2 linked regions of the Anolis sagrei genome follow. The protein of the gene in region 1 purifies or fractionates together with the protein of each later gene. This does not show direct contact. Links are inferred from orthologs where the notes say so. Each region holds a gene or a part of one and is shown on either strand. Other genes may lie near its edges.

What was found.
Region 2: the proteins of RPS6KA3 (region 1) and FGFR2 purify together in Homo sapiens (affinity purification with mass spectrometry; 3 studies listed by BioGRID and IntAct, counting the BioPlex papers as one, with this or other methods). This does not show direct contact. The link is inferred for Anolis sagrei from reciprocal best matches to the Homo sapiens genes RPS6KA3 and FGFR2.

The regions. Positions count from the first base shown.
Region 1 is NC_090023.1:88,379,916-88,391,046, forward strand, and holds the start of RPS6KA3 (ribosomal protein S6 kinase alpha-3), read left to right. Parts: upstream 1-6,946; 5' UTR 6,947-7,307; coding exon 7,308-7,385; intron 7,386-11,131. UniProt on the Homo sapiens protein: Serine/threonine-protein kinase that acts downstream of ERK (MAPK1/ERK2 and MAPK3/ERK1) signaling and mediates mitogenic and stress-induced activation of the transcription factors CREB1, ETV1/ER81 and NR4A1/NUR77, regulates translation through RPS6 and EIF4B phosphorylation, and mediates cellular proliferation, survival, and differentiation by modulating mTOR signaling and repressing pro-apoptotic function of BAD and DAPK1.
Region 2 is NC_090023.1:200,544,414-200,555,885, forward strand, and holds the start of FGFR2 (fibroblast growth factor receptor 2), read left to right. Parts: upstream 1-6,593; 5' UTR 6,594-6,700; intron 6,701-11,472. UniProt on the Homo sapiens protein: Tyrosine-protein kinase that acts as a cell-surface receptor for fibroblast growth factors and plays an essential role in the regulation of cell proliferation, differentiation, migration and apoptosis, and in the regulation of embryonic development.

The sequences.
Region 1 (11,131 bases):
CAGCCCCAGACGCATACTATAGGTTTGGTAGCCAAAGACTAGTCTTGCAAGTACATAGAGGCACATTACCAAAAGGGCTGGCCACCAGATAAACTGGCCAGAGCAATTGCATAAAATCGTTGTAATAGTGAAAAAAGTAGCCATAGTGATGAATTTACCAGCTATCAAAGTAAATGTCACCTATTAGGCTGAGAATGGTAGGGCTTAGGGCAAATGTCTCAAAGCCAAGGCCAATATGCCAAATACGGCCCACCATATCATTTTATATGGCCCACGAGGTCTGGACACCCACAGAGCTGGCACCACCCTCTCTGGCTATGTTCTCTGTAAAAAAAATATTAAAAAAGTAGGACTCTAGTTGTGAGGGAGCATGTTTCCAGACAGGGATCATTTCCCTTCTTGACTGATGTCTTGGAGACCGCTAGTAAAAGGTAGTGCCACTGCTTTGGCTGTGCTGAGAGGATGCTGAACACAGACTGCCCCTCACAGTTGAGCTTGAATATCATGGCCACAGGAGGCAGCTGGCAGCCTCTCCCATCTCACCCCTGGCTGGGTAGCATTTCCCCTGAGAGGTCAAAGCTGGGATGAATGCTTTTTAAAAAGTCATGCCCGTGCCTGGTCCATTCCCGTCCTGCATGAGCTGAAATCCCCATGGCACAAATCAGTGGGGGATTTTGAAGAAAGGTGGTTCTCCACATTTTGCTCTTCCTCACAGACAATATGAGGGTAATGGCATACATGAGGCCTGAACAACTGACTTTGGTAATCAGTGGGTGGCTGTCATGTGAGAGGTTTTCAATAGCAGAGCAACATAGCTTCATCTTTCTGTTATTGTATTATTCATTTATTTATATAGCACCATGTATTAGGCTTTCAATGCCAGAGCAACATAGTTTCTTGCTATTATTATTATTTGAAACACAACAAGATGAGTCCACAGCAGACAAGATCACTCCACTGGCTGTTGTATTGGATCACACGTTGGGCATTTCCCAAGTGTCTAGGACTGTGATGAATCAGCAAATAATGAGTGCAGATCCCAGTAAGGTGGCCTTCTGCAGCTGGCAGGTGGTAATTTTGTCAGCGTTGATTGCGTTTAAGTGCAGGTCAAGGTCTTTAGCCACTGCACCCAGTGAGCAGATCACCCCTGGGACCACATTTTCTAGTTTGTGCCGGAGTCTTTGCAGTTCGATTTTTAAATAATGATATCGTGTCAGCTTTTCCAGTTGTTTCTCTGCAATCCTGCTGTCACCTGGGATTGCGACATTGACGATCCATACTTTGTTTTTTAACACGATTGTGAGGTCAGGAGTATCATGCTCCAAAACTCTGTCTGTCTGAATCCGGAAGTCCCAGAGGAGTTTGGCGTGTTCATTCTCTGTAACTTTTTCCGGCCTGTGATCCCACCAGTTCTTTGTCGCAGGCAGATGGCATTTGTGGCACAAGGTGCAATGAATCATCTGAGCAACAGTGTTATGTGTCTGCTTGTAGTCTGTCTGTGCGATCTTCTTGCAGCAGCTGAGGATGTGATCTATTGTTTCATATGCTTCCTTGCAGAGTCTACATTTGGGATCTGTTATCTGCTTTTCAATTCTGGCTTTGATGGCATTGGTTCAAATGGCTTGTTCTTGGGTTGCCAGAATCAGGCCCTCCATCTCCTTTTTCAGAGTTCCATTTGTGAGCTACAGCCATGTTTTTTCTTTGTCAATTTGGCTCTCAATTTTTCCCAGGAACTGTCCATGGATTGCCTTCTTTTGCCAGTTTTTTGTTGTATTCATATACCACTATATTTTGGGCTTTTAACTCCAGAGCAACATAATTTCATCTATGTGATATAGTTCTCAGGCTATTTAACAGTATGTTAAGAAGTAGTTATATTTATACAATCTTACAATTACAAATGACCCTTTGAAGGCAACCATAAGGCTGATGTGGCCCTCCGTGAAAATGAGTTTGACATCCTGACCTAGAGTGTTGAACAACAAGGTGTAACATCCAGAGTCAGATCCACATTTACCCATGAGGCTCGGTGCAGGAACTTGGGACAGGTACTATTTTTGCTCCATAAGGTGGTTGTTAGTATAAAACCACTGGAGGAAAGACCATGCATATTATCTTTGAGGTACAGGATGGAAAGGGTGGAAACACAGGTACAGTATGCTATACATACCATATTATTAGTCATAGTTCTTCCATAAGGATAAATATTCAATCTTCTTCCCACATTTTAGTTAGCTTTTGAAGGTGTGTCACATACATATAAATATATAGATTCCCCCCTTTTTCCTCTCAGAAGGAATGGAACAGGAAAAAAGAGCCATCTGTCCTCCGGATACTCTTCCAAATGAGCATTTGGTGTTTCTCTCAGAATGAAAATTGGGAGAGGAGCATCCCCATTTATTCAAATGTACTTCGTTAGATCTCCCGCTTGTGGCTGCAACAATCCCACCCACATCCACATTCTCAAGATTACATCAGAACACTGGCAAATATTCTAAATTCCTGGAGGATGTCAAATCACACTGCAGGGAGATTAAATGATAGAAAACTACTCACGTGCTAAAATGATCATGTGAGTATCTGCAAACTGATTGTCAGTTTGAGCAGAGGAAAAAAAATATATCATATACACAAAGAGAACAAAATAACGGGACAATTAACAAGTCAGTTGGCTCCTCAGAAGACCCACAGACGAGTATATTTTCAGTTGTGAAAACTTGGTCATGTCATGGTCAATGGAGTATACCCCATCACTAGCTATCCTAGTTTAATACTACCATTTTTAGAAAGTATTTCAACACAGCTGAGTTCCAGTTAAATGCATTTATACGCCTCTTATCTCTTTCATAATACACAGAATGAAGGAATCAATATTCCTTTGTGGCTTGAGGTCATGTATAGACAGGTAAATAAGATTCCTGTCTGGCCATTCTGATACACTATGTCATATTTTCAATCCCATCAGGAAATGTGCGCCTCTAGCCATCCAAAACAATCGAGCAAGAGAACAGGCTTCCTACTTGGCGGTATTTCAAGAAAAGCCTGGATATTCATGTCCAACTATAAAAGCCAAATTGGATGTAATGGTAGCAGCAGCCCTATGTATCAGGACTGAGTCACTCCCTACCAAACCCCTACAAAGCAGGAAGTGTAGTCAAGAAGCTTCAAAGTGCGGCATCACTATGCTTTCTGCCCTGAAATATGTAGTATTTTTAGCCATTTATTTCCCTGCGAGACTCTTTGATTGGATATAGATCCTGCTGTGAGAAAAATAGCAAAATAAACAAAACAAAACAAGAGGAAATTGCAGGCAGAAGAAGGGGATGGCTTTCCAAGTCCCGTAATGTATTCTGAATTTCCTCCCCCGCACCCCTGCAGCGTTTCCTCTCCTGGAGCATGCTATTTTTAAATCTATTCTAAAATCACAACACTATGTATGTTTACTTAGAAGTCCCATTGAGTTTGAGCAGGACTGGATCTTTGCAACACCATCTGATGTATGTTTACTTAGAAAAAAAGAAGCCCACAGTAAGCAGATCCAAAGAAAAGCAGCAATCCCAGGCATCTTGGGGGTTGTTCTAAGTAGGGTTGGCTGTGGGTTTGTGTGTTCAGCCCCTAGGACTGTTGAATTTATAATTCAGAACAACAAAAGCAGAAGTTATTTACAGAATAATAAATGAACACAGCATTTCATGGACAAAAAAAAAATAGATTGAGCTTTACATCTTCAAAGTGTAGAAACGGCTGTTACAAGGAGAGGCTACTGTAGAGAAAGAAAGGAAAGACTGTTAACCATGATGAAAGCATAGACAGTAATAAAATGTAATTATATATTTGGGCTTCCATAAACTATAATCACATTTTCTGAATTATAATATTATCCAAATTGCAGATTGAATATTCTTTCTCTAAAGTGTAATACAGGTTGAGTATCCTTTATTCACAAGGCTTTGGGCCAGAAGTGTTTGGATTTTGGAATATTTACATAATGAGATATTTTGGAAAGAAGACCCAACTTGAAACCTGAAATACATGTATGGTTCATATACACAAGGCATGTGCAAACTTAGGCCCTCCAGGTGTTTTGGAGTTAAACTCTCACAATTAGGAGAGTTAGGAATTGTTGAAGTCCAAAACATCTGGAGGGCTGAAGTTTGCCCATGCCTGATATACACCTGCTACATATACAGTCTGAAGGTCACTTTATACACAATACTTCTAATAATGTTGTGCATGAAACAAAGTTTGTGAACACTGAACCACCAGAAAGTAAAGGTGTCACTATCTCATGCAGTTGTGTGGACCATTTTGGATATTTTGGATTTCCGGGTGAGGAATGTTCAGCTTGTAACAGAATGAAGATCCCTTTGTGGAAATGGGGAACAGCTCAAACTAGAATAAATGCAGATATGCCAATACTTGACTCCACTTCAACTGCCATGGCTTCAATACTATGGGATCCTGGTAGCTGTAGTTTTGCAAGATCTTTTGCTTTCTTTGCCAGGGTGCTGGGGACTTACCAATTATACATCCCAGAATTCCATAGCATTGGGCCAGGGCAACTGAAGTTATGCCAAACTGCATTAATAATTTATTTCAGATATTTGCACCTGACTCTTCTCAACCCTCAGTGTATAGATGTACCTTGTGTTAGTCTCTACAGTGCCACAGAACACTTTGGATGCATCATTATATACTGTAGAATTAACAGTTTGGCACTGCTTTAACTGCCATGGCTCAATGCTATGATGACATTGAACACCATGGCTCAATACTATGGTGCAATGTAGCTCGGTGACATAGCAGCACATTTTGTAAGGCTACATACAGACTTTATACACCCACAAATCCCAGGATTCCACAGCACTGAGCCAAATACAACACTTAGGAGCACCATCTGTTCATTTAGGGCCCTTCCAAGCAGGCCCCATATCCCATGATCCGATCCGTTTCTTTATCCCAGATTATCTGGTAGTGCGAACTCATATAAACAAAAAACCCGGGATCAGATCCTGGGATATATAGCCTTTCTGGAGGCCCAAGGGCCAGATGCAGCCCTCCAAGGTCATTTACCCAGTCCTCGCTCAGGGTAAATTTGAGTTTGTTATTGTGTGCTTTCAAGTTTGAAACTACTTGAAAGCACACAATAACAACAATCCTATCTCATCAGCCAAAAGCAGGCCAACACTTTCCATTGAAATACTAATAGGTTTATATTTGTTAAAATTGTTCTTCATTTTAAGTATTGTATTGTTTTTACATGTTTTTTGCACTACAAATAAGATATGTGCAGTGTGCATAGGAATTCATTCATGTTTTTTTCAAACTATAATCCGGCCCTCAATAGTTTGAGGGACTGTGACCTGGCCCTCTGTTTAAAGTTTGAGGACCCCTACCCTAAACCTTACCCTAACCCCTAAGCCTAACCCTACCCCAAACCCTTCCCTCCTTTCTATCCTTCCACCAAACTGAAGTATATTCCCGCCCTCAGTGAGCCGCTCACCCCTTCCCTTATTCACAAACGTAAGCGTAACCCTAACCCAAACCCTAAACTTTGCCCTAGCCTTACCCTAAGTGCCCCCGCCTTTCTATACTTTCTTCGCTCTCCACGCTCTCCCTCTGCCCCCTCTATTTCCTTATTCACAAACGCCATTGCGGAATGTGCGTAACGCCTGGCACTCCCGGACCCAGCTATCATACTATCACCAAAGTAACTGCGCCCTACACCACTGGAGAAATTACACTGTTTAGCCGGTATTGCACCACTTGACATCCACCAGGAAGTAGCAGCCAATAGTGAAAGGACCAAGGCAGTGACATCTCCAGCTCATCCCATTTGGATGTCAGCCAGCACGTCAACGACGTAAATCAAGAAATAGCTTTCTAAGATCTACAGAGACGCTTGCTGGAACACCTCAGCAAGCGAGAGTCCAAAAGTGGCAGGCTCAAACCCAGAACCTCAATCAATGGCTGATACCAAATGAGAGACTCCCCCCTGGGCACACAGAAGACTGGGTGACTTGGAAGGCGCTGAACAGACTGCGCTCTGGCACCACGAGATGCAGAGCGAACCTTAAGAAATGGGGCTACAAAGTGGAATCCACGACATGCGAGTGTGGAGAAGAGCAAACTACAGACCACCTACTGCAATACAACCTGAGCCCTGCCACATGCACAATGGAGGATCTTCTTGCAGCGACACCAGAGGCACTCCAAGTGGCCAGATACTGGTCAAAGGACATCTAATCAACTACCAATCTTGCAAACTTGTGTTTTGTTTGTTTGTTAAAAAATAAACATATGCAACTGTTTGGTCTGCCCCTGACACGATAAATAAATAACCCCTAAGCGTAACCCTAAACTTTGCCTTAGCCCTTACCCTTAGCGCCCCCTCCTTTCTATCCTTTCTTCGCTCTCCACGTTCTCCCTCCGCCCCTTTTCTTCCCTTATTCACGAACGCCGTTACGAAATGTGCGCTTCCGGACACAGCTATCATACTATCCCCAAAGTAACAAAGGCCGAAAGTAATAGAACTGAAGGCCTCCCTCCAGAACGGAAACCACTTCCTGAGGAGGAGGAGGAGGAGGAGGAGGAGGGAGAGGAGGACGACTCCAATGACTTTTTTTTTCCAACTGCGAACTGTCGTCACGGCTTGGAAGCGGGCGGCGGCGATTGGGGGAGGCGAAGGGTTCACTCCACTGAACTGACGCGGGGAAGGCGCGCGCCAGGAATGACGCGCGGGACCGGCTGGGCTTTGTCGCGAGGCAGGGAGCCCCTCCCTTCTCCTTCTCTCTTCCCGGCTCTCTCTTCCCCCTCCCACGCCTGTCGCAACCAGATTAACTCTCCAGCCCCCTCCTCTCCTAAGCCACGCCCTCTTTTAAAAACTACCTGCCGCCGCCTCTGATTGGTCCGCCTTGGGATGACGCCATCCCCCTTCGTTTTGACAGGCAGGTACGGCTCGGGCGCCGCCATATTGGGAGCGGAAGCGGGCTGAGCGGCAGAAGCGGCGCTGCTGGTTGTTCACCCTCCGGCTTGGAAAGTCCTGCGCTCCCTCCGCGAGGGAAGGAAGGAAGGAAGGAAGGAAGGAAGGAAGGAAGGAAGGAAGGAAGGAAGGAAGGAAGGAAGGAAAGCAGGGAAAAGGAAGGGAGCGTGTTCCGCCCGTCTCCTCCCCGCGGCGGGGAGGAGGAAGGAGCCCGACCCTGAGCCGAAGTGGGACTCTGAGGAAAAGCAGGCGGCGGAAGAAGAGGAGGAGGAGGAAGAAGCGGAAAAAGAAGGGAGGAAGGGACGCTTCAGGTTAAGGGGCCACCATGCCGTTGGCGCAGCTGGCCGACCCCTGGCAGAAGATGGCCGTGGAGAACGCGGCGGAAAGCGGCAACAGCGCCGAGGTAGAGTTTCCCTCAGGAAGCGGGGCAACTCGGGAGAGAGAAGGGGGGTATGTGTGGAAAAGGTTTGGGGCAGGCATGGGCAAACTTGGGCCTTCCCTCCAGGTGTTTTGGACTTCAACTCCCACCATTCCTCACAGCCTCAGGACCCTTCCTTTCCCCCCTCAGCCGCTTAGCGTAATTAAAAATTACGGCTGAGGGGGGAAAGGAAGGGTCCTGAGGCTGTGAGGAATGGTGGGAGTTGAAGTCCAAAACACCTGGAAGGAAGGCCAAAGTTTACCCATGCCTGTTTTGGGGAGAGGTGCCGCACCCCACGTTCAGGTTTTTTTATCTCAACTACTCAACTTTAAGGAAGTGTCCTTGTCCTTATCTGGGACCTGAAGTGTTTTTGATCTAGCATATTATTTGGATATTCCTAATGAGATGACAGGGAATTGGCATATGTTTCAAACACACTGTAGATACATAGCCTGAAGGTGGTACATAACATTTTTAATTACATTGCACATAAAACAGAGTTTGTGGAAGTGAAGGTCACTTATCCTTGTCTGAAACACTTGGGACTTTAAAGTGTTTTTGATTTTTGATTCCCCTTCATTTTTTGAATGAATTTGCATTTATTCATGTGTTTACCATATATACTTGAGAATAAGCCGACCCGAGTATAATCCGAGGCACCTAATTTTACCACCAAAAAATGGGAAAACTTACTGACTCGAGTATAAGTCGAGGGTGGGAAATGCAGCAGCTACCGGTAATACAAAATAAATATAGATACCAATAAAATTACATTAATTGAGGAAACAGTAGGTGAAATGTTTTTGAATATTTACATAAAACTGTAATTTAAGATAAGACTGTCCAACTCTGATTAAACCATGATACCAACCTTTTTCAGTGTAAATATATTTGTACATCTTTCCAAGAATAATAGAGTAAAATAGTAAATGTAATAATAACAGTAATAGAGTAAAACAATAAATGTAATAATAACAATAGAGTAAAATAATAAATGTAATTAGAGTATAATAATAATAATAATAATAATAATAATAGAATTAAATAATAAATAATCTTGACTCGAGTATAAGCCAAATGGGATTTTTCAGCCTAAAAAAAGGGCTGAAAAACTAGGCTTATACTCGAGTATATACAGTATTTATTTATTTGCCGTATTTATACCCCACCTTTCTCTATCCCAGCAGGGTCTCAAGGCGGCATACAATGGCACATACACAGTGCCTCAAAACAACAAATTCACCTAAAAATAGTTTAGATATACATAATGAGACACCTTGGAAAGGAGGCCCAAATCTAAACAGGGAATTAACTTGTGTTTCATGTGCACCTTATATTCATACCCTGAAGGTTATACGTAACTTTCTTAAATGTATTGCACATAACACAAAGTTTGTGGAAGTGAAGATGGCACTGGGTTGCTGTGAGTTTTCCAGGCTGTATGGCCATGTTCCAGAAGCATTATCTCCTGACGTTTCGCCCACATCTGTGAGAATGTTTCACCGCATCCTGAAGATGCCTGCCATAAATGAGAATGAAGCATCAGGGGAGAATGCTTCTGGAACATACAGCCCAGAAAACTCATATCAACCCAGGATTTCAGAAAGCCCTTTATTTAAAATGTAAAATGATAACTAACAGTGATAAGGTTTCTGTGAGTGTTCTGGGCTGTATGACCATGCTCCAGAAGCATTCTCACCTGAAGTTTCACCTGCATCTATGGCAGGCATCCTCAGAAGTTGTGAGGTTTGTTGGAAACTAGGCAGGGGAGGTGTATATATATCTGTGGAATGTCCAGGATGGGAGAAAGAACTCATATTTGTTTGAGGCAAGTGTGAACCTGAAGCGTTTTTTGATTGAGGTGACACACACACCAGATTTTGGAATATTTGAGATATCTTGGAAATGGGTATATCTAAACAGGAAATTAACATATGTTTCATATCCATAGCCTGACGGTAAGTTTAAACACATTTTTGTATTAATTTGTGTTTTAAGTTTGAACCATCAGAAAGTTAAGTTGTCACTAATTCAGTCACCTGTATGGGCAATTTTGGAGTGTTTCAGATTTCCGAATAAGGAATACTCAATCTGTACTTTGAGAGTTGGGAAGAAGCATCGAAGGGCCACCCTTATGCCTAGTGCTTTGGTTTCTTCCTATCTGAAGCCTGTTTTGCCATCGACTCCTGTCTATCTCCACTTTCCCACCCCCAATTCAATTACTCTTAAGTCAAAGTACTCATCCATTACCTTTACCATTGTGTGTCTTTAGGACTCACTCTCTCTACCTGACAACTTTTAGGGATAACATTTTCTGATTTCTATAAATAGTAATGAATTTGATAAGTCCTTTCAGGTGTTACAAGACTAGTCTTTGTTATTGATGCTACAGACTAATATCATGTCCCACACCCCAATGCTTTTACTCTTTCCCTCTTGAGGCAGGCAGGTGGAGAAAGCGGAAGGGTGGTTTCACAATCCAGTTCTGCTTTTAGACATTATTAGCGTTTTAATCTCCCATCTCACACAACAGACGAATAGATAAATCTCTTTGCTCTATGTGTTCAGAGTCCACAGCATGATTTTGAGTGCACAGATTTCATCCCCTCTCATCTTGTTTGGTGTGTTTGCCTGAAAGTGGTAAAAAAAGAGAGAGAATACCTTGGATTACAATGTGACTCCTGGTCAAGTGAAGGTCTGTGGCTGGAGGAAAAAAAGGGAGGAGGATGGGACTTTCCTCCAGTGATTCATATTACAACAGATCTGAAGGAGGAGTAGTTTTGGGTTTCCTGGGATATCCCATCTCTCAGCCTCCCCAACATCTATTTGAAGCTAATAGTATTCTGTTTATGTACACTTGAAGAGAGATGCTGTCAAATGGTTAGTGCCAACTCCAGTGTTGTAGCTTTTGTTCACGTTGTTAGTGTTTGGTTACTTTCATTTTATATATCTTTTCCCTGCTCCCCCAGATTTTGCTCAGATGGTCAACTTCCTCTATGCACACATTCTAACTGGGAGGAGGAATTATGAACATGAAAGTTAGTTGCCCCCCCCCCCTTTTTTTAAAGGGAAATCCTTACTTCCTGCTACTTTAAGGAAGGCACAAGCATAGGAAGTTGTGATCATTGTTTGACATGTTCCTTTCTAGTTCTCACTTCCTAACTTATTCTTTATTTAATACATCTGTTATTGTGGCATGATTAAGTTGGGATAGTCACCCTTCATGATTTACTTTCAGAATATACTTCTGAGAAAACCCTCAGATCAGATGCTCTATAAATGCTTTAAAGTGTAATGAATTACTGATAATTAAAGCTCCCTAAATTCAAAACATGTTTAAACCACTTAATTCATAGCAAATAATTAAATTCCATTCTGTTTCCATTAATAACACTTTAATTACTAAATTCTGTAGAAAACATTTCATTTTTGTCTTTGAAGTATTACAGTGATGAAACGATTTAATATCTTGTGTACAAACTGCACATCACAAGAGTCACTTAAAAAAAAACCTAAAAATGCATCTTTGCATGAAGTCGTAGGGTGTAAGTGCAGTGTTAGAAAAATCCTTATGACATGTAATGCATGTTATATGCAACATATACAGCAGCATCTCCCAACATAGATCTTCTAGATGTTTTGGTCTATAGCTACCTCTGCTAGCAAGACCAAGTCAGTGGTAGTGGGAGATGTAGTCCAAAACATATGGAGAATAGTACCAGACTAGAAAA
Region 2 (11,472 bases), about 110 Mb from region 1:
ACGAATAATAGAAGTTACATGTAGCATGAAATATCTTTGTGCTGCAAAGTCACATTCCCAGTCATGGAGGTGAGGCCACAATCATGGACCTGAAAGCATTCTGAAGATGAACATAACCCATAGTTAATAGTTTAATACAGACTACTTGTTACTGGCTTGACTTGAAGGAACTGGGGGTGGCCACAGCCACAGTGAGCTCTGGCATGGGCTGGTCCATGAGGTCACAAAGAGCTGGAACAAATAAACAACAACTAGGTATACAAACGGAGACAATAAATTTTTGTACAGTTTACTCATGGTCAACCCTTTCCTTATGGAAAAAACACACACATAGCTCTTTCTTTACAAGGTTTTCACAATAGAGTTTATGCAGTTTGCCCACATTATGAAGTCCCAAGTCATGTGAACACCTCACATAACTTGGGACTTCATAATATGGGCAAAATTACCCATCCTACAATAGTTTCACCTAACTTCAGGGGCAGCCAGGCAAATCCCATCAGATGGCGTAGATCTACTTCCGGTAGGGCTCCGTCCTTGAAGTGAGGTGAAACTGTCGTAAGAAGCAGCAATAAGAATACAGTACGCTTCCTATGTTCTCATTGAGAAGATCAGGGGGAAGCTGAATGGCAATGCTTCACCCACATATGGGATGAGGTAAGGGGTGATGGATTCCTTCCACCCCCCTCCCCTGAAGAATTTACCATGATCCATGGAGAATCCCTCCTCTATCATCCACAATTTTGATCTCAATGTGATGAGGTCCTTAGCAGCTATGCTGTTGACTAACTGAGAAAGTGGCATCAATTTCCTTATGCATCATAAGTGTCTCATGACCTGAATGATGGTGGGTTTTTCCCCACATCACCTTGAGGATGGGCCCCACTAAGCTTAGTCTAGTTTGTAAATTTTTCCACTTTGTATTATATTGTGCACACAGCCAGGTATTTTACAACTGAGAAACCCCCCAATGTTCCTGCTGAGAGACATGGAATACAATGGAAATTAGAAACATGATATCCTATCACCATGTAAGCGTGTCTGAGTTTAAGATCATTGGGAGACGACTTTCTCCAGGTTCCACTTCTTTCATCAATATATTTGGTGAGGACATAGGAGACAACATTCTTGGTGGCAACTTGCAGGCTGTGGAAATCTCTCCCATAGCAGACTAAGCTGACGTCTTCCTTATTGTACTTCTAGTTTTTATATGAACATGTATATGATAATTAAGTGACTACACAGTCACCAGCAGTTGGTTTAACCATATGACTGGCACCATTTTGAAACTGTACCTATCATGGGAAGTGTTATGCCACTTTATGCATACTTAAGCCGTCCTGAGTCCCCCTTCGGGGGTCGAGAAGAGACAGGGTAGAAATACCGGAAATAGCTACATAGCAGATGGTCTAAAAAACTCTATGAATGAATTTCGATGATACGTAACAGGACACCAGCAAGAGTGCCCAAATATGAATGTGGCTCTACTAATACACATTGGCACTTCCTAGCCAATGTTCCAATGCACAATAGGACAAATGCATATTGGTTCCCATTGTGAATTAGTCTAATGAACATTGGTAACTTTGCTGGATCCCCTACATTGTAATTTAAGAGCAGCCTTTAATGAATACGCATTGCGGAACTGCCAGATTTTAATCCCTGTAGATAAAGTGCAGTTATGAAAATTTACGTCTCCAGCAGGACTCTGGCCATTATGTTCAGGTTTGATGAGACCAATAACAATACCCAATAACTACTGTTGGATGAAAAGCAGAAGTGAACTGTGCTGTGGCTTCAAAGAACAATATGTCTGAGAAGGAAGGAAAGAAACATACAACTGAAGAAAAGCTGAAAGTTAAGGAGCCGGGAGTGATTTATTCATTCATCTCTTGCAATTTTAGACCACCCAAAACCCAGGCCTTTCTTAGTTCTGTGCAGTAAATTAAAAACATAAAAGACAAACAATAAACAATGACAAACACATAATACACTCAGCCACAAAGCATAAAAGTATGCACCATATGATATAAAAGGAAAATAAAACTGGAAAGGAAAACAAAGGTGCGAAGCACTAAACACACTAATAACAGTTATTGAAATCTGGACATTTAATTTTAAACTGAATACACTAGATGAGCAGAAACCAATGAAGTAACTGGAACATGGAATTTCGCATTAAGAACAGAAGATAAAATTTCATATGGTTAAGAAAATTTCATATGGTCAAGAAACAGGAGATGTCAAGGAGTAGAAGCCCCTCGGATCCTTGACTAGTGCCTGCTGTGATAGGTTGGATGAGGACTAACAAACTGAAGCTTAATCCCGACAAAATAAAGGTCCTCCAGGTCAGTCGTGGGGCCGATTGGGATATAGGGTGGCAACCTGTGCTCAACAAGGTTACACTCTCCCTTAGGACACAGGTCTGCAGTTTGGGGGTCCTTCTGGACTTGGCTTTAATGCTTGATGCTCAGGTGTCAGTGGTGGCTGGGAGGGCCTTTGCGCTTCCCAAGTGTCTAGGACTGTGTGATGTATCGGCGAATAATGCATGCAGATCCCAGTAAGGTGGCCTTCTGTAGCTGGCAGATAGTAACTTTGTCAGCGCTGATTGTGTTTAAGTGCAGGCCGAGGTCTTTAGGCACTGCACCCAGTGTGCCGATCACCACTGGGACCACCTTTACTGGTTTGTAGAGTCTTTGCAGTTCAATTTTTAAATCCTCATATTGTGTCAGCTTTTCCAGTTGTTTCTCTGCAATCCTGCTGTCACCTGAGATTTAGACATCGATGATCCATACTTTATTTTTTAACATGGTTGTGAGGTCAGGAGTATTATGCTCCAAAACTCTGTCTGTCTGAATCCGGAAGTCCCAGAGGAGTTTGGCGTGTTCATTCTCTGTAACTTTTTCCGGCTTGTGATCCCATCAGTTCTTTGTCACAAGCAGATGGTATTTTGTGGTACAAGTTCCAATTAATCATCTGAGCAAAGGTGTTATGCCTCTGCTTGTAGTCTATCTGCGCGATCTTCTTGCAGCAGCTGAGGATGTGATCTATTGTTTCATCTGCTTCCTTGCAGAGTCTACATTTGGGATCTGTTATTGTTGTTTTTGTTTTTGTTTTTAAGCTATTATTATTGTTGTTGTTGTTGTTATTAATATTATTATTATATCTGGAAACATCATAAATTGTATTCAAACTTAAGTTTTTCTTATGGAGTTTAACCTAAGGAGTCCGATTCTGATATCAGTTTTGGTGGATTAAATCATCTTCATGTCGAAAATGTTGATTAGACATCAGCAACTTGGTCGCTTCCACTATGTTGGTTATTGCTGCTATTGCAATGTAAATTGGTGGAAAGGTAGGTAATGATGGTGTGAATAAAATAGCAAAATCTGGTTGAGATAGTGCTTGCAGTTCAGGAGGAACTCTAATTTTTGCTTCTCTTAGACTTAGCATAGGGACTTGATTATCCAGTTAAAATAACGAGTTAACCAGTTTTTTTTTAACCTGAAAGGTTTCAGGATGTATGTGTTTGGACCTGAAAAGTTTCAGGATGTGTGTGTTTGAACCTGAAAAGTTTCAGGATGTGTGTGTTTGAACCCATACCAACCCCCCACCCCCAGCTACAGGCTTGCATCAAATTAATATTCCTTTCACATGGCTGCAAGAATGAAGAATACAGACTCCTGAGAAAATGACTGCCTGCAATTTTTGGGTTGCTAAAAGAACTTGCTTGAAGCCACAATGCCTCTTGGAAGGCAATGGGATAATATTTCAGTCTTGGAGCTCTGACACATGTTGTGACAGCCTGTGGCAGACATGCCAAGAGCTTCATTCCATAAATCACATTTCGAGAAAAGGAGGCCTCTGTGCTCAGTAGCAGCAGCAGCAGTACAGCATAGACCGTTTCTCCTTTCTCTTGGCTCCTTTGCTCGGATGGGGGTGGAGAGAGCCTTAACCTTCCGCTCGTAGGACCAACGGAGAAAGAACATTGCATACAAGAGTCCCAGCTCTTGCTTTGTTAAACGAAATGAAGGCCATGTAAAGACTTCCTTTAAAAAAAGTTCTATAGTAGTGTTGCAAACATGGAGATTCAGTAGAATTCTGTTTTCATTTACTTTTTTGGCAGCACTTTTCAAGTCTCTTCCCTCTGCCTCCCCCCTATAGACTAGGTCCATTAATATGGGATGGAAACAAGAATAAACGTGTGTGTGTGCACACACACATGTATGTAGAGTATAAGAAACAGCACTTTTAACTTCTACCATGACTTTTATCTGCCATTGGGGGAGGTGTGTGTGTGTGGTGATGGATTTGAAGAAAAAAATACATTCCCAGAGTATAGTATACAAAATCTTCTTTCCCTTCATGGTGTGAAGTTCTAAAATATTTCCATTGTCCTGTGAAGGTTACTTACACCACAAATATATTTGAGTAACCTTTATAATGCTTGGATTCAAAATTCTGCAGCTATGGCTTACATGTGTCCTCCAAGCTCTGATTCGCTATTTCCATTGCTCTCTTCCCCCAAATATCGGATGGTCCACTACCTGGCAGTGAAATCAAGCTAATATTTATTTCCATGCTGTTTCCTGAGAACTAGTACTCAGGATAGTTTATGAATATTAAAACTGTTACAGATAAATATGTGTAGTATAGATTTTAAAAGGGGATCCAGAACATCTAGGTGATTTATTTATTTATTTATTTACTTTGCTTTGCAGTTTCTCAGCCCGTAGGCGACTCAATGCGGTTCACAACAAGAGCAAAAGTCAATCATAACAACATACAATTTGATGAGTGTATAATACAGCCACAACAGATTGAATACTATTTATCTGACCAGAAGAGCCACCTTCTAACAGTAGCTCAATGGTTGTCTCTTTTCACTCACCGTGTATGTGTCCTCACATAGTACACGCTTGGGGTCAGTCACATCTTCTCTGCTGCTCACCAGAAAATATTTGGGTTACAGATGTATAGGATTGGATTGATCATATTAATGAGCAAAGATAAGGATTTCCTAAAATCCCCTTGATTAATCAATTTCAAGAAGGGGACCAATACTAAAAGTGTGCTTACTGATTTACATGTGATCACATGATCAAATCAGACATTGATTTGGAGTCATTATTGATTTCCCCACCCTAGATTGTTTCCCCGAAGTGAACAAAGAGCTTCAGAGTTCAATCTGTCATATTTGTTTGAACTGATATGATCTGAGATTTATATGAAACCCTAATTTACTCCAAGCAAGGAAGGTTTGGAATGTATCTTATTGACACCTAGGAGCTCATCAGATTGAGGTCCAGAAGCTGGGAGACAGTGGAGGAAACTGTGGGAGAGCAGGAGAAATTGTGGGGCAGTGAGGGAAACCATGAGGGCAGTCCCCTTATCATCCCATGACATTTCCCAGCTGTCCCTGGTTTCCGCCTGTGCTGTCTGTAGCTTCTTCAATGAGGATACAGGTGACCTCAGGCCAGCCTCTGAGCACACAGCCGGGATGGAGCGAAGATGGAGCGCTGCTAGAAGTAGTCCTGATGGGCTCATATGACAAATAGTCATATGATGGGCTCCGTCAGGCTCCATCACAGCTCCGTCATGGCAACGTGCTAGGATGGGGGAAAAACCCATTTGATGAGGTCCCTAGTCTTGGGGGTTTCAATAATACATGTATAAATACTGGTAAATATACTATTAGATACAAAATATGGGCAGCACATTTATTGAATTCCAGGCCTATCAGGTATTTTCAAATCATGTTAGCTGTTATATATGTTATCAGACATAGTTCTTATAGACTGTCATTGCTGTTTCACAACTTACATCCTGTTTTCAAGCTGTGCTTTTTAATTAATGACCAAAAGTGAACATTTTAAAAAGTTGTAGAGCTATCATCCATAGACTGGAAATGGAGTTCATGCTATTTCCTGCTTTAGGAAAATGGCCTATGAGAATTTGAATAAAGGCTAGTGTTATTAAGGAGTGTATAATGGATGGAATCCTATTAGAGACTCACATCATCATAAAGAAATTATTAATTGTGCAATTGCATCTCCATATCCAGTAGAGGACTGCTTTTATGTTATTACACGCCCCAGTTTGATGCACAAGGGTATCTGATATGTAGCTAGGGATAAATGACATTATATAATGTCAAGTCATAAAGGATTCTGATGAATGTCCAAGTAATGACAGGCAAAGCCTAGAATATTGTGTCCATCTTCACTGTTTGCATCCCAACCACTCAATGTGATATTTTTGTGGCTGTGCAGCAATCACAAATATGTGAAGAAAAGACTGAGTTGCATTTTCTAACATCTGGATTATTAGTTGCCGAGTACACATAAAACTCAGAATGCCTGCACCAGATGCATCTTCAGATAAATTATCTGAATCCTGCATACTGAGTAACAATTCTGCATTTACCATGAACAAATATGACTCTGTCTTGTTCCGGAATGCACTGTTGCTCTCTGCATCATAAGGCACTCAGTGAGTTAACTTTGCATTGTGATATCATTTTCTGAGTTCCAAGCCTCTGCCTCTGTGTAAGAATGCCACCCACATGATAGGGGAGAGCTGTCAAGCTGAAACATGCAGAAGGTACTTAGACACACCTATTCAAGCACCGCTTCACCTATTCTTGAAGTGTCTCGTGTTCCTGAAACCTCCACATGTTGAACGGAGACGCCGAAACCAGGTACAGTAGAATTTACGAACAATTTGAAAACAAATAGGCTTTGTACTCAAGAGTAGAAGTGAACCCTATAAGAACATTATTACATGTTTCTTTAATGGTATTTTTGGGTGTATGTGTGGGAAATTATCTATGTAGTACAAGGGAAGTAACTCTTGGCAACTGCACGTTGCTTCTGGATGCCTTTGTGTTGTAAACTGGTGTTGTTATTTTACTATTGCTTCTACAGCTGTGTGCCTGGTTTGTGTTTACTGTGGAGGGGTAGTACAAGGAGCATGTTGGTTTCTTGCTAAGAATACATTAGGAACTATCTTAAAACTGATGAAGCAGTTTGGATCTGGGACTGAGGACAGGCAAACACTACCTTGCACCTTTCCCAACTTGTTGTATGTTTGTTTTTGAATATGCATTCCTGTAAGTTTTGGCTCTTTCTTCACTGCTTTGTGTATGGACACTATTTAGTTTCATACAGAACTTAGAAGACTTGCTCAAGATTGGCTCTATACTACAAAAAAGTACATGTGGTATCAAGTCGGTAGCTGCTAACCTTTTGTATGTCCAATTACCCATCTAATTAGAATAAACACTATGGGCCACTTTTGATAAAGCTTTATCTGTGTGCACACAACAACAGGCAAATGCAAACACATTCACTCACACAATGATATCGTGTCACATTTGTTTCACCTAAAAATACTGAATTAGACTACATTCGATTTCCAGTATTATTGAGATATTAAAAGTTGATTTGATCCTTTAAAGTCTTGTTTCACACAAATCCCCACTGATGACAAAAGGCACATATCTAATGAATGATGAATATATAACATAACTTTCTTATGGAAGCATGTTTCCTAATATTCATTATTTCTGCAGAGCCTTTTCCAGTAAAATGCCCTACCAGGTCTTTAAGTTAAGTATTAGTATTTTTATATACTACCAATCTAATAACTTGTAAGCCAATCTTATACCATTTACAAATAACTTGTATGCCACTCTGAATCCCCTTCAGGGTGAGAAGGGCGACATATAAATGTCATAAATAAATATAAATAAATAAATAAATAAATAAATAAATAAATAATAGATATTCAAATACATGTATAGGGAAAAAATCTTTAGACCAATGGTGTCAAACTTGTGGCCTTCAACTTCAGCTCCCAGAATTCTTGACCATTGGACAAGTTGGCTGGGCCTTCTAGGAGATGGAGTCACAAACACCTAGAGACACACAAGTTTGACACTTCTGTGCCTTGCCCATGGATCATATCTGGCCTGTGGGTCAGTGGACAACGTCCATCCCTTACATGTCTTCTGCTCTTTCCCTTTGGCCAGTGGTTCTCAGCCTATGGGTCCCCAGATGTTTTGGCCTTCAACTCCCAGAAATCCTAACAGCTGGTAAACTAGCTGGGATTTCAGGAGGTTGTAGGCCAAATCACCTGGGGACCCACAGGTTGAGAACCACTGTATTAGAGAGAGAAAAACTCAGTGTGAAGAGAGAGTAGGCAACAAAGGGGGCATAGAAAAATGGAGCATTTCAAAATACTATTTCCTATACAATTTTGGAGAAACAGATCTTAAGTTAGATCAGGCTTTGAAATCTCTGCTTGGCCATGAAACCCACTGGGGGACCTTGGGCAAGTCACATTCTCTCGTCCTCAGAAGAAGGCAATGGCAAATCTCTTCACAAGAAATCTTGCAAAGAAAATGCTGTGATAATTTTACCTTAGGCTCACCATAGGTTGAAACGACTTGAAGGCAGACAGGAACAAATATTGATTCTGATCTTGGATGGGGAAAAGAAACACGGTTATCTGTTTTCACCCAGTAAATATGAAACCTAATTCCCCAGGTGATCCATCTGTTATGTATTTTCAATGTGGCATACCCGATTCACCTCCCATACAATTCTCACAACAAGTTTCTATACGGTTCTGGCCCAGCTTACTTGTCCGAATGCATCCACCCCTACGTCTCACCTCGTAATCTAAGATCATCCGGGGAGGCCCTGCTCTTGCTCCCGTCAACAGCACAGATGCGTCTGGCGGGGACAAGAGACAGGGCCTTCTCGGCTGTGGCCCCCCGCCTATGGAACACACTCCCAAATGAGGTAAGATCCACTCCCTCCCACCTGGCTTTTGGAAAAAAATTAAAATCATGGTTTTGAGACCAGGCCTTCAGGCAGTAGAAGTAAATGCATGCAGCATTTCAGAAAAACAATGACTGGAATGGCGATTTGTTGTATGACACTGTTTTATTGTTTTAATGATTGTTTTATTGCTTGTGGATGTACTTTTAAAACTTGATTTATGTCCAGTTGTAGTGTATAATTGTAATTGTTTGTACTGGCATTGAATTTTGCCATTACTTATGTGTAAACCCTCGGGGTGAGAAAAGCGGTATACAAATACTATAAATAAATAAATAAATAAATAATTGGGAAGGAAGTGAGTCTCATGGGTGAGTGGGACTTTGTATCTGGCTCATTCTACTCCCAGCCTGACAATCTAACAAAACCTTGCTGAGTTTTCAATCATGATCTTAAGCCCTTTTTGTTTTGACCTGACCTCTGTGTGACTTTTCCCATTTCTTTGTCCTGGAATATAATTTAAGCAATAATAGGGAGAAACCCATTGCATCTTCTGCTGTGTTTTAATATGATTATACTGTATGATTTGATTTTCAATTTATGATGTTGTTAACTGCTTGGAGCACTTGATTTCGAAAAGGAATGGAACGAGAATATTTAAAAACATCTCAAAATAAATAGCATGGCTTGCCAAAGTGTGAGGTTTACCAAGCTCTTAGAGGGCTAGCATACATGGCTGGTCTCTCTGTGTACACAAGTTATGTCCATTTGCTGTTGCCTAAGTTATATACAGTGAACATGTCTGTCTGGAGAGAACCTTTCTCTGAGTATTTAATTTGTAGAAAAGACATCTTGGTGACGGGAGATCTCACAGTCCTGTGCAGAAAACAACAAGGTCAGATGGCTGAGGCAACTTTTAGTGAAAACTTTTAATGCATTGTTTCCTCTGAGACTCCCTGAGCCTTTATGGCTCCTTTAAAATGGAATTTGCAGCCCTGAAAGGCAGAGGGATTTATTTTTATTGTGAACATATTTTCCTACTGAAAAATTGTCCATATGTTTAAGCATTTGATGAATGCTACAGTACTTAATACTGTTTGCTATAATTTGGGGTTGTTGCATGTCCCCCCCCCCTCTTTTGAGTAAGTACACAGTATGTGTGTTGTTCATATTAGCTACATGTAACTATTCTCTCATCCAGATGTTAATACTCATGCTAACTGCTCCAAAGTAAAGCTTTTGCCAATAGAATAAGCAATGTCTTAACAATGGCAATTGGTTTTCTTTTCTTTAAATTGTGAAATGCATTGTGCTGATTTAGATTTGATATAAAGGAGGGTTGGGGAATCTCTCCCTCATTGTTTTTGCTTACAACTCCCATTAGCTTCAACCATCATAGTTAATAAGAAATAAGAAATGGTAGGGGGTAAAATGTAAAACATTTTGAGGTTCTCCAGTCTAAGAATAGAATGGAACTCAAAAAAGCATGGCCATGGAAGAGATATTTCTAGGATGTCTATGGGTGATAAAAACAACAACAGCCAAGTAGTAATTATTAAATGAATTCCAATTCTGTCACTTTATGGGTCATGAATGGAGAGTCTAAAAAGATGAAAAAGTGCTCATCTCCTAATATTTAATGCTGAGCACTATGAAGCAAGGGTTCCCACAATGATCTGGTAGAGGCAATGCATGTGCAATGGATTAGCATTGGAAATACCACCTTGCAGATTTCACTGACCTGAACTGGGAAGCAAAAAATGCATGATTACAACAGCTCCACTGGCTGCCAGTCTGTTTCCAGGCACAATTCAAAGTGCTAGTCATGAACTATAAAGCCCTGTATGGCTCAGGCCCAAGCTATTTGGCAGATTGTATCTCCTGATACAAACCTGCCTGGGTCCTTGGGAGAGGCCCTTCTTTTGGTCCTACCACCATCGCAAGACTTACTGAAATCAAGATATGCTACAAACATGGGACTCTTATCAAACAAAGAGATAAAGTTCTTCTGGCATTAACTTGTTTTCAAGAAACCCATATTGACTTTTTGTGAGCATGGCATTCCTTTCTAAGTGCTTGCAGATTGTCTCTGGCTGGATCTACATTGCCAAATAATTCAGAATGCAGATTAACTGCACTGAAATGGATTATATGAGCCTACACTGTATATAATCCAGTTCAATGAAGTTAATCTGCATTCTGAAATTGCATTATATGGCAGTATGGATCCAGTCTCCAGTGATATGCTCCAGAAACCTTCCTGATGCTGATGTCAGGCTGAGTGGACAGTAATTATTTGGATCCTCTTTCCCAGTCTTTTTGAAGATAAGGACAACATTGGACTTCTTCCAGTCTGCTGGAACTTCTCCTGTTCTCCAGGACTTCTCGAAGATGATTGCTAGTGGTTCTGAAATTCCCTCTGTCAGTTCTTTTGAAACTTGGATGTGATTCATCTGGTCTTGGAGACTTTTATTCCAAGACCAGATGCCTCTTTACCTATTTTGTGCTTTACTTATTCTGTACTGCATCCCTTGCTCAATCCTCCTCAAGTTGAGCACTGTTGTTGACCTTTTTGGGAGAAGATTGAGAAAAGGAGTTGTTGAGTAGTTCTGCCTTTTCTCTGTCCCCTATTAGGATTTTGCCATCACCTGTATGCAGCAGCCCCACCATTTTCTTCTTCTTCTTT